Macaca fascicularis: one gene and its partners. The protein of the gene in region 3 binds, or shares a complex with, the protein of the main gene of each other region. Links are inferred from orthologs where the notes say so. Each region holds a gene or a part of one and is shown on either strand. Other genes may lie near its edges.

Evidence for each region.
Region 1: the proteins of BACH1 (region 3) and FBXL17 are in contact, whole or in part, in a cryo-EM structure (PDB 8UAH), measured with the Homo sapiens proteins. The link is inferred for Macaca fascicularis from reciprocal best matches to the Homo sapiens genes BACH1 and FBXL17. Residues at the interface, in NP_001177.1 of Homo sapiens: Val20, Leu21, Ser23, Leu24, Gln27, Val32, Leu33, Asp35, Phe39, His48, Arg49, Ser50, Val51, Ala53, Ala54, Cys55, Ser56, Ser57, His60, Ser61, Arg62, Val64, Asn72, Thr74, Pro76, His116, Asn117; in NP_001156787.2 of Homo sapiens: Asp395, Arg421, Asn447, Gln473, Gln498, Glu499, Met524, Arg548, Cys574, Leu575, Tyr598, Val600, Ser601, Asp623, Trp626, Met651, Arg652, Val676, Gln678, Asp679, Cys680, Arg682, Thr683, Glu685, Gln689, Trp692.
Region 2: the proteins of BACH1 (region 3) and FBXO22 are in contact, whole or in part, in a cryo-EM structure (PDB 8S7D), measured with the Homo sapiens proteins. The link is inferred for Macaca fascicularis from reciprocal best matches to the Homo sapiens genes BACH1 and FBXO22. Residues at the interface, in NP_001177.1 of Homo sapiens: Ser7, Val8, Phe9, Ala10, Tyr11, Glu12, Ser13, Ser14, Val15; in NP_671717.1 of Homo sapiens: Asp366, Gly371, Asn372, Phe373, Ile374, Leu375, Arg376, Lys377, Cys378.

What each region holds. Positions count from the first base shown.
Region 1 is NC_088380.1:114,883,425-114,887,799, forward strand, and holds the start of FBXL17 (F-box/LRR-repeat protein 17), read right to left. Parts: upstream 2,920-4,375; 5' UTR 2,502-2,919; coding exon 1,506-2,501; intron 1-1,505. UniProt on the Homo sapiens protein: Substrate-recognition component of the SCF(FBXL17) E3 ubiquitin ligase complex, a key component of a quality control pathway required to ensure functional dimerization of BTB domain-containing proteins (dimerization quality control, DQC).
Region 2 is NC_088381.1:53,200,521-53,204,165, reverse strand, and holds part of FBXO22 (F-box only protein 22), read right to left. Parts: intron 978-3,645; coding exon 890-977; intron 66-889; coding exon 1-65. UniProt on the Homo sapiens protein: Substrate-recognition component of the SCF (SKP1-CUL1-F-box protein)-type E3 ubiquitin ligase complex that is implicated in the control of various cellular processes such as cell cycle control, transcriptional regulation, DNA damage repair, and apoptosis.
Region 3 is NC_088377.1:17,713,078-17,716,722, forward strand, and holds part of BACH1 (transcription regulator protein BACH1), read right to left. Parts: intron 516-3,645; coding exon 1-515. UniProt on the Homo sapiens protein: Transcriptional regulator that acts as a repressor or activator, depending on the context. Binds to NF-E2 DNA binding sites. Plays important roles in coordinating transcription activation and repression by MAFK.

The DNA of each region.
Region 1 (4,375 bases), on a different chromosome or scaffold from region 3:
GAAGGTACCTGGCTTTGTTTTGGTTCATTTTGAAACAGTCTTATTTGCCAAATAAGAAGAGAGCAATCAAATTTCTATACCAAATATTTGTTGATATTTTATTTATCCATATCATCCAGTGATTTAAAGGACTCAAGAAAGTTCCCTTTGTCCTAAAATGCACCTCTGCACACAAAGAGTAGGGAATTACTCTTCCAACAAGTAGACCTCCATAAGAATTAGATCATTACATTTTGACACAAGGAAATGTAAGTTTTCCCACCTTCTTGCTGTATCATTCACAAGAACATTAATATCACAGTAAAAAAGACCCAAACACACAGTACTGTAAATATGCAAAAAGTCTAGTCACAGAAACTATATTGGTGACAATAACAATTGTAATTACTGACAGTTACTTCAGTAACGGTAAAAGTAGCCAAATTCTTATCAAGATTATTTATGGATAGTCTCTAGTATCATCCACAATGAAAATGGTTTATATTTATTAAGCTCCACATAGGGTAGGGTGGGAGAAGACAGAAAAAGAGGAAAAAAGTTAATAACTTAAGAAAAACTCTATTATGTAACTAAAGTTTGTCACTAGCATTGACAAAACTGCAAAATATCCTTGATAGTTGAAAATGACACAAAGTTCATATAGGACACCTACCTCTACTCACCCATTTCCCAACAAAAAATACATCTGCGCTTACCTCTGGTAATCTGCATGCTTTTATGCAAAGGCTAAACTGTAGAAGGGCATTACAACATAGCATAAACAAAGGGGTTTTAAAGTCAGGTGGTCTTAAATTCCCTCATTCAAGACCTAGATCTGCCCTTTACTTTCTGTATGTGACCTTGCACAAGTCATTCGACCACTTCAAGCCCCACTAGACTGTCAGCTCCACAGGAGCAAAGGCCACTTCTGCCTGACTCACTACTGTAAACAGTGGCCCACAGCACGGAGAAGTCAGTTTCTTCTGGTATAAAATAAAGATATTAACAGTATTTATCTCGCAGCTTTAACTGAAGGAATAAATGGGATATTATATATATAAAGTTCTGGTGCAGCGCCTGATTATGGTAAATGCTCAATAATAACTGTTTGACATTAACTACCAATCATCAAACATAAAAGTAATGTTTGAAGACCTTCAAATACTAATACGCAAAGCCTTTACCCACTAAGTATAAACTTCCCGATTAATTTTTTTTTTCTTTTCCACAGAATACCTGCGAAGTTTCTAAACGACTGGGTTGGGATTCTAATAATAGCTGAACCCTGAATGGTGGGTTACAGAGTCAAGCTATTAAAAGACATTCAGTAGACTCCAAGTGCTCCTACTTCAAAAAATAGGTCATACGCAGAGGCCCCACTGGCTTCCCAGTCTCCCCTTCGGACGTCCCTAGACTGTCAGGGAACCCCCCTCCTCCGCGTTTAGGGGGAGGAGAGAGAAAGCCTCAGAGGCGGGGGCCGAGGGTGGGGGAAAGCGAGCATCCCTGCGCCTCTCGCCCAGACCCACCTTGAGCAGGATGGACGGCGGCAGCTGGTTGATGTCTGGGGTTTCGGGGGACGGCTCCCTGTGACAGTCGCAGGGGTTTTCGGGGGGCTCCCGACAGTCCGCGTCGCCACATTCATGCTGCTGCTGGGCGGACGAGGGGGCGGTGCCCCCGGCTCGGACAGCGTCCCCGCCAGCTTCGGTAGGGGCACCTTCGGAGGTGGGAGAAGAGGGCGGGGGGCAGAGCGGCTGCGGGTGCTGCTCCGGGCCCTGGCAGCAGCCGGCGTCGGGGGGTCGGGGCGGCGAAGCGCCTCCCCCCGCAGGCCCTCCCCCACCACCACCGCCGCCGCTGCCGCAGCCCCCGCCGCCGCAGCGGGGCTGCTTGCAGGGGGTGCAGGCTGGGACCCCGGCCCCCTTCCGCTTGCACACCATTTCGGGGGGCGTAGGGGGCTCGGCCGGCGGCGGTGTCGGTCCCCGGAAGAGCTGCACGGCGGCGGGCGGCCCCAGGAAGCGCACCGGCCCCAAGCTGGCCAGGAAGAGACTTCGGCCCTGCTGCTCCCAGGCGGCGGCCGCAGCCAGCCCCAACTCTTTGCAGCAGGAGGCGGGCGACGAAGCCGAGGCGGCAGCGGCTGCGGCGGCGGCGGCCGAGGATAGCAGGAAGCGGCGGGCGGCAGCGGCGCAGTCCTCGGCGGCCAGGGCCGCGTAGCGCCGCGCCAGGTGCTGGGAGGAGGAGGCGGCAGCGTAGGCCCCGTCCCGCGGCGGCGGCGGCGGCGAGAGCGGCGGCTCCTCCTCTGGGCCGGCGGGGGCGGGCGCGCCGGGACTGTGCACGATGAAGCAGAGCATGCAGGGCCCGCGGAAGAAGCAGTCCCGGCTCCGGGGTGCCGCCGGTTGAGGGGGCACCTTGGCTGGGGTCCGGCGGGGCAGCCTGAGGAGAGGGCGCCGGCGGCGGCACCAACTGCAACAGCGAGGCCTCTTCTGGCTCGGGCGGTTACGCGGCTCCTTCGAGAGAAGGTGGCCCATATAGAAGACCCCGAGGAGGGGGACCGGGACGGGAGGGAGGGAGACCCAGAGAGGCGGGCTCCTGGCAGCGGGGCAGGCCGCTCGCTGGCTCGGCCCCCGGCCCACGGCGGGGTCGCCCTCCCTGCGCACACACACGCACACACGGGCACACACGCGACGGTGGGGGGTGGGCGTCAGCTGCGGGCCGCCGGAGTGCCCGACGGGGGCTACATGCTCTGCCCAGGGAAGCCGGGAGAACGATGGGCGCGAGCTTTGGGGACGCGAGGGAGTGAGCGAGCGAGCGAGCCTGCCGGCTAGGTGACCAGTCCGGGCCCGGCCAGCCGGCTCAGTCAGTCAGCGCGGCAGCGGGGGCAAGGCCGGGTCCCGCTCGGACCATTTTAACTGCGGATCTGCCGCCGGCGCGCGCGCCCGCGACTCTGCTCGGAGCCGCAGGAACGCGCGGCCCGTTCCGGCAGGGGGCGGAGCCAGTTGCGGTGGCGCGCTCGTGGCGGGGACGCTAGCGCCCGCTGCTCACCCGGAACGGCAGCCACACGGCACTACGGGAAGAAGCCGGCCGGCTAGGGTATGGAGCTCTGGGCTCGCGGGGTGCGGCGCGCGCCCCTCCCTCCAGCCGCCTAAGGTTTTTCCGAAGCTGCTGGGCGTGCGCCGCTTTTCTAAGGCGGGAGGAGACACTTCCGAGCCAGCTGTGTGACATCCGTTTACACAGCCGCGCTGACGTCTCGAGGTGTAAGTTCAAGAGCTGCCATTGGCCGGTAGCCGCTCGGCTCTTCCCCTCATCTTCCACCCCTATCACCACCCCTGACTCGGAAACCCAGGCCACTTCGAAGCCGCGAGGCGGGTTCCGCCGGAAGGGCCGGCGTGGGTGCTGACCGCGCCTTGGGCGGAGTGGCAGATGCGGCCGGTGGGTGATACGCACCCAAGTCATGTGAGGGGTTGATTGGTTGTGCGGCATCACTGTTTACTCACTTGTGTTTTATTAATTGTTGCGTACTACTGCCTTTCCACAACTTTATTTCAGAGTGAAAGCATATATCAAATTACCTGTGCACGGTGGAAAGATAACAGCTTCCCCACCCAATGAGCCATCCAACACCCAGGCTACAAGCTGTAGATCACTTTATTGTCTGCACCCTCGGAATGCTGTCTAGCCATCTGTTATATATTTTAAACATGACGGTGCAGTGCCGGCTGTATGACAAACCTTGGTGAGTCGGATGAGAAAGAGGAAATAGCTGTGCAGGCAGTCCGTTAGAAGGTTTGACTATATCGAGGCTAGAGAGCTAGGGCAGCTACTAGAGCGGCACCTGGTCTGGAGAAGTTAGCTTTCACAAGCGAAGAATTGGAGGAAGCAAATACCGATGGGAATGAGCGACTCCAATGAGAGAAATAGGAGAAGGTGGAATGGAGAGTGCTTTAGGAAGGACACTTTCTTCATTGTGATTACAGAGAATGACGAAAGGTAGATAAAGGATGAATATAGATAGGTGGATGTTTCTAGCCGGAAGGTGAGAGTTCCTTTCTGATGGTTTCTATTTTCCTTCAGATAGAGCTTGGTTACCTGCTGAAGGGTGGAAGTGAAGTGGCAGCTGTTTAAAAAAAAAATCTGCTAAGGATAACTTGAGAGAGCTGACTGAGGGAGCAGTATTGCAATATTCAAGGCCCAGTGACTTAGAGACCTCTGTTGGAACCTACATTGCTATTACCACTATAGTGGCCAGCGCCACCCAGTCTGCACTCAAACATGCTATCCAACATTTGTTTATTGTGGCCTCTTTGTCAGAAATGACTAATCTTAAGTCTGTCACATTCAGGGATCCTTCTTTCAGAGCCTAATGACAGTGATGTGGAATTCTAGAAGCAAATATTTGTCAAAA
Region 2 (3,645 bases), on a different chromosome or scaffold from region 3:
CTGGCATTGTTTGGGGAATAGCTTCTCAAGGGCAAGTGCTGTTTCCATACTAGTTCTTTTCCTTGCTGTAAAAATACAGTAGCAAAATGATTAAATATCATCCATTTAAAGTCAAATCTGACAATGAAAAAGTAAAAAAGCAAATACTGGAAATATTTAGGTCACCTGACACGAGAATGCTCTAAATAAAGGTCTAAAAGCATTGATTAAAACAAACACTTTACCTGTTTTGGTCCTGGCTTTTAAATTCTAAATCTGATCTTTTGCACCACTAGTCTGCCTTTCCTCTCTGTTCATATAATGCTTTTGCCCCAGTGATGTCAAATTTAGCAGTAACAGCTGAATTTTAGACTTGCTACTGTACCTTTCTGTTCAGCTGATATTGCAGTATAACTACTATTTGCATCAACAGTTAACTGGATTCAAATTAGACAATAAGAATCCATTATCTAAGTCTAATTTGGGGCCTATGTATGCCCATCTTGAATACCTATTCTGCCTTTTCCCTCAGCCAGCCAAAAATGCACCATTTCTCTACATAACTTTGGTAAATGGGACCTCATGTTCCAATATAGTAAAAGGCCTGAATAGCCAAAGTCATACAACCTGTTTTAATAATAAAAAGTGCCTGGAGAATTAAAGCATCTCAAATTGAGAAAAACACCTTTCTAATGAATTTGTTTCAATTACACTACAAGGTTTAGAAATCAATCTGAAGCAGAAAGGGTTCCTCAAGGTTCAAAGATAGATACATTCATGCATACTACAGGTGGCAGTCCCACAGCCTCAGAAAGTCGATTAAGTCTCAGGACAAGTACAATATTGAACTCCAAACAGAAGGCACATGATGAAAAAAAACAGAAACAAAAGCTTTTCTTTTGATAGTTACCTCTCTTATGGCCACGACACTCTTCCAGACTAATGAAAGTTTCTGAATCAGCCATGTAAAGAACTGTATGTGGTAAGATGCGAACATTCTGCAAAAAAAAAAAAAAAAAAAAAAAATTGGAATTGGATCCCATGAATCCATGAGTGCTTCTGCATAGTCCCTTAAAGTATCACCCAGTCCACAGTGCAATGAAATTAGAACTCAGGATTAAAAAACTCACTCAAAACCGCACAATTACATGGAAACTGAACAACCTGCTCCTGAATGACTACTGGCCAAATAACAAAATGAAGGCAGAGATAAAGATGTTCTTTGAAACCAATGAGAACAAAGACACAATGTACCATAATCTCTGGGACACAGCTAAAGCAGTGTTTAGAGGGAAATTTATAGCACTAAATGCCCACAGGAGAAAGCGGGAAAGATCTAAAATCAACAACCTAACATCATAATTAAAAGAACTAAAGAAGCAAGAGCAAACAAATTCAAAAGCTAGCAGAAGGCAAGAAACAACTAAGATCAGAGCAGAACTGAAGGAGACAGAAACATGAAAAATCCTTCAAAAACTCAATGAATCCAGGAGCTGGTTTCCTGAAAAGACTAACAAAATAGACAGACCGCTAGCCAGACTAATAAAGAGAGAAGAATCAAATACACACAATAAAAAATGATAAAGGGGATATCACCACTGATCCCACAGAAATACAAACTGTCATCAGAGAATACTATAAACACCTATATGCAAGTAAACTAGAAAATCTAGAAGAAATGGATAAATTCCTGGACACATACCCTCTCCCAAGACTAAATCAGGAAGAAGTCGAATCTCTGAATAGACCAATAACAAGTTCTGAAATTAAGGCAGTAATAGCCTACCAAGCAAAAAAAGCCCAGGACCAGACGAATTCACAGCCAAATTCTATCAAAGGTACGAAGAGGAACTGATACCATTCCTTCTGAAACTATTCCAAACAATGGAAAAAGAGGGACGCCTCCCTAACTCATTTTTTGAGGCCAGCATCATCCTGATACCAAAACCTGGCAGAAACACAACAAAAAAAGAAAATTTCAGGCCAATATCCCTGATGAATATCGATGTGAAAATCCTCCGTAAAATACTGGCAAACCGAATCAAGCAGCACATCAAAAAGCTTATCCACCACGATCAAGTCAGCTTCATCCCTGGGATGCAAGGCTGGTTCAACATATGCAAATCAATACACGTAATCCATAACACAAACAGAACCGATGACAAAAACCATGATTATCTCAACAGATGCACAAAAGGCCTCTGATAAAATTCAACACCACTTCATGCTAAAAACTCTCAATAAACTAGGTATTGATGGAACGTATCTCAAAATAGTAAGAGCTATTTATGACAAACCCACAGGCAATATCATACCGGATGGTCAAAAGCTGGAAGCATTCTCTTTGAAAACCCGCAGAAGACGAGGATGCCCTCTCTCACCACTCGTATTCAACAGAGTATTGGAAGTTCTGGCCAGGGCAATCAAGCAAGAGAAAGAAATAAAGGGTATTCATATAGGAAGAGAGGAAGTCAAATTGTCTCTGTTTGCATATGACATGACTGTATATTTAGAAAACCCAGTCATCTCAGTCCAAAATCTCCTTAAGCTGATAAGCAACTTCAGCAAAGTCTCAGGATACAAAATCAATGTGCAAAAATCACAAGCATTCCTACACACAAATAACAGACAGCCAAATCATGAGTGAACTCACATTCACAACTGCTACAAAGAGAATAAAATACCTAGGAATACAACTTACAAGGAATGTGAAGGACCTCTTCAAGGAGAACTACAAACCACTGCTCAAGGAAGTAAGAGAAGACACAAACAAATGGAAAAACACCCCATGCTCGTGGATAGAAAGAATCAATATTATGAAAATGGCCATACTGCCCAAAATAATTTAGAGATTCAATGCTATCCCCATCAAGCTACCATTGACTTTCTTCACAGAATTAGAAAAAACTACTTTAAATTTCATATGGAATCAATAAAGAGCCCGTATAGCCAGGACAATCCTAACCAAAAAGAACAAGGCTGAAGGCATCATACTACCTGACTTCAAACTATACTATAAGACTACAGTAACCAAAACAGCATGGTACTGGTACCAAAACAGATATACAGACCAATGGAACAGAATAGAGGCCTCAGAAATAACACCACACATTTACAACCATCTGATATCTGACAAACCTGACAAAAACAAGCAACAGGAAAAGGATTAACTATTTAATAAATGGTGTTGGGAAAACTGGCTAGCCATATGCAGAAAACTAAAACTGGACCCCTTCGTTACACCTTATACAAAAATTAACTCAAGATGGATTAAAGACTTAAGTGTAAGACCTAAAACCATAAAATCCCTAGAAGAAAATCTAGGCAATACCATTCAGGACACAAGCACGGGCAAAGACTTCATGACTAAAACACCAAAAGCAATGGCAACAAAAGCCAAATTTGAGAAATGGGATCTAATTAAACTAAAGAGCTTCTACACAGCCAAAGAAACTATCATCAGAGTGAACAAGCAACCTACAGAATGGGAGAAAATTTTTGCAATCTATCCATCTGACAAAGGGCTAATATCCAGAATCTACAAGGAACTTAAACAAATTTACAAGAAAAAAACAACACCATCAAAAAGTGGGCAAGGTATATGAACACACACTTCTCAAAAGAAGACATTTATGCGGCCAACAAACATATGAAAAAAGGCTCATC
Region 3 (3,645 bases):
TGAATGTCTTTGACACTAGATTCCCCAGTACGGACTCTGTCAGTTCCAAATGCTTTTTGGAATTTTCTGTATTTGGGGCATAAAGAAGGCAAGGCCAGAGCAGCATCCTTCTCTAAGCACATGGATTCATATGTCTGACTGGCACTGTCTTGTAGAGGAGGCGAGGCTTTTGCATTTCCTTGATACCTGCGGAGTTTACATTGAGGAGTCTGAACATTTTTATTTTCCACAAATTCCTCCACTTCATCTGTTTCTAGATCCCTCTGGTCCAAAAGTGAAAGTTTAAGATCTGTTTTCTGACAGTGTGATGAAAAGCATTTTTTTCTTGGGCATTCTTGCTGGTCTGCAGTGGAGTCCAAAAACTTAAATTTCAGAAACTGAAAGCAGGATTCCTCAATATTGTGTACACTTAAAAACTCCACACATTTGCACACTTCATCCACATTCTCTTTACTTAAAATCAGTTTAGCAGTGTAGGCAAACTGAATTAAAGGTTCAAATCCTTTAACTGTCACCTGTTGATACACAAAATAAAAAACACATCATTTGAAAGCTGTCTAGTACATAAAAATGAGATAAGTGGAAGAGAAATAGATGTGTAACTTATTTGTGATAATGATAAAATATGTACTTTAATTTAAAGAAAAAATATTCTTCTAAGAAATGGAAAAGGAAAGGATCCTGGAAAAGCATGCTTTTCACAGCGACCACACACTATTTTATAGAGTCCACTCTTAATTGCACATGAATTATGGTTTACTCACATAAGTTAAAGACATTAAGACATTACAAGTTTCCCATGACAGTGGAAAAAAAAATCATCTATGAATTAGAGCAGGATGAACACGACCTGCCACACATACATAGTGAGCCTACTGCTAGCCCAGCTCCACATGGCCACTGTATTCCAAACAACCCCAACTGCTACCAGCTGCAAAACCAGAACTCTTAAGGATATAAAACAGTACCTGTAAAGAAGTTACAAAGTCCTGATCCATGGTAAATGCATACTAACTGGTAACTATTAACTTTACTGTCCTAACAGTAAAAGTTTTAAAGATACAGATTTTTTAAAGTGATCTAGGAGAAGTTATAGAAATCATGCCTCAGTACTGTTTCAGCAAAAATTCATGGACTCAAAGTAACAAAACTTTTAAGTAGAAACCTGCACATTTACATTACACCTGCCTCTTAAAATGAGAGGCAAATGGAACCAGCTGAAGTACACAGAAAGTCCTATCCTGGGTTAAAAGTACAAAATTAATTTGAAACCACTGAGTTCTTATAAGAGTGGTCAAGATAATATTTGTGATCTTAAAAATCTAAACATGCTAAACCATGTTTAGGCTTTTTAAAGGCTCAAATAAAAAGCAATGATACCATCAAATGCTAATGAGAATGCAGAGAAACTAAATCACTCACATATTGCTAGTGGGAATGTAAAATGGTACAGACAATTTGAAATACACTTTCTTATAAAAGTAAACATGCAACTACCATATGACTCAGCAACTGCACTCCTGGTCTTTTATCCCAAAGAAATGAAAACTTATGTTCACACAAACACCAGTACACAAATGTTTACAGCAATCTTATTTGTGATAGCCAAAAACCGGAATTAGCCTGATTTCCTTCAATAGGTGAAAAGCTACACACACACATACACACACGGTACATCCATACTACGGAATACTACTCAGCAATAAAAAGGAAAAAATTTCTGATACACACAACCTGGATAATCTCACCTAAGTCAAACAACATCAATCCTAAGAGGTAATATACTGCATAATTTCATTTATATAACATTTTTAGAATGAAAAAACTTTAGAAAAGGAAGAAAGGTAAGTGGTTGCTATGGATTAGGGATGGAGAAAGGGGGCAAGGGAATGAGGGCATGGAGTGTAGGCAGGAGATGTCTGTGGTTATAAAAGGACAACAAAAGGGATCTTTGTGTGTTGGCAAGTTCAGTATCTTTTTTTTTTTTGAGGTAGAATCTCGCTCTGTCACCCAGGCTAGAGTACAGTGGTGCAATCTCGGCTCACGAGTAGCTGGGATTACAGGTGCCCGCCACCACGCCTGACTAATTTTTGTATTTTTAGTAGAGACGTTTCACCATGTTGGCCAGGCTGGTAAACTCCTGACCTCAGGTGATCTGCCTGCCTCGGACTCCCAAAGTGCTGGGATTACAGGCATGAGCCACTGCACCCAACTGAGCATCTTAACTATGGTGGTGGATACACAAACCTTCACAGGGGATAAAATTATATAGAACTTAATGCGCGAGTGCGCGCACACACACACACAGACATTATTAGTACAAGCAAAATTGTGGCAATCTGAACCCTATGGGGGACTGTATCAATATCCTGGTTGTAATACTACACTACAACTTTGCAAAATGTTATCAATGGGGGACACTGGACAAAGTGAAAAGGAACTCTGCACTGTTTCTTATATCTGTACATGAAAACATCAAGGTGATAATATTAAATGTCAACTTGACTGGATTGAAGGCTGTAAAGTCTTGTTTCTGGGTGTGTCAGTGAGGGCGTTGCTAGGGAAAATTAACATTGAGTCAGTGGACTGGGAAAGATAACCCACCCTCAATATGGGTGGGCACCATCCAATCGGCTACCAGCAAGGCTGGAACAAAACAGAAGGAAGAAGGTGGGATAGGTGACTTGCTGACTCTTCTGACTTTCGCCTTTCTCCCCTGCTGGATGCTTCCTGCCCTTGACATCAGATGCCAGGTTCTTTGGCCTTTGGACTCTTAGACTTACATCAGTGGTTTGACGAGGGCTCTTGGGCCTTTGGCCACAGACTGAAGGCTACAGTGTTGGCTTCCCTATTTTTGAGGCTTTTGGACTCAGACTGGGCCACTACTGGCTTTCTTCCTCCTCAGCTTGCAGGTGGCCTATCGTATGACTTCACCTTGTGAACGTGTGAGCCAATTTTCCTTAATAAACGCCCCTTCATATATATATATATATCCTATTAGTTCTGTCCCTCTGGAGAACTCTAATACACTCAATAAAAATTTCAATTAAAATTTTTAAATTAGTTAAAATAATCTAAAAAGGTCTTTAGGACAATGAGTTATAAGGTATTTTGACACTGTCACTATAATGAAACACTTCCAATATTTGAAAACTTATGATTTACACATTAGAAAGAATGAATGAATGCACACATACATGCATGTATGCACATACCTTTCCTCCTAAATCCATGAATCAAACTTTGCTTTACTTGGAAAGTCTCATTCAATAATTTGAAAATATGAACCATAATTAATATATCTCCATTATAAAATGTGTTGGTCTTTTTTTAAAACAATGGCCAGTTCACAGGTTGGCCTTTTTTACCATTTTCTTGGTATTGCACCATTGACTCTGACCTCTGCCACAAAACTGACAACCTATCTGTTCCCAAAACTGTAGCTGCATTTTCATAGAAGTAGGCATGGACAGCAACAAGCTAAACTGTAGACTTAGTTTACAGTTTATCCAACTGTATCCAACTGGGAACATCCCACACAGACCTGTCATACACAAAGAATTTCTACATTCTTTCTCCATATTCCTCCTAACTTCTATCTGTGTCCCAATGCCACAGCTTTGATACTCTGCTAATAGCAGTTAC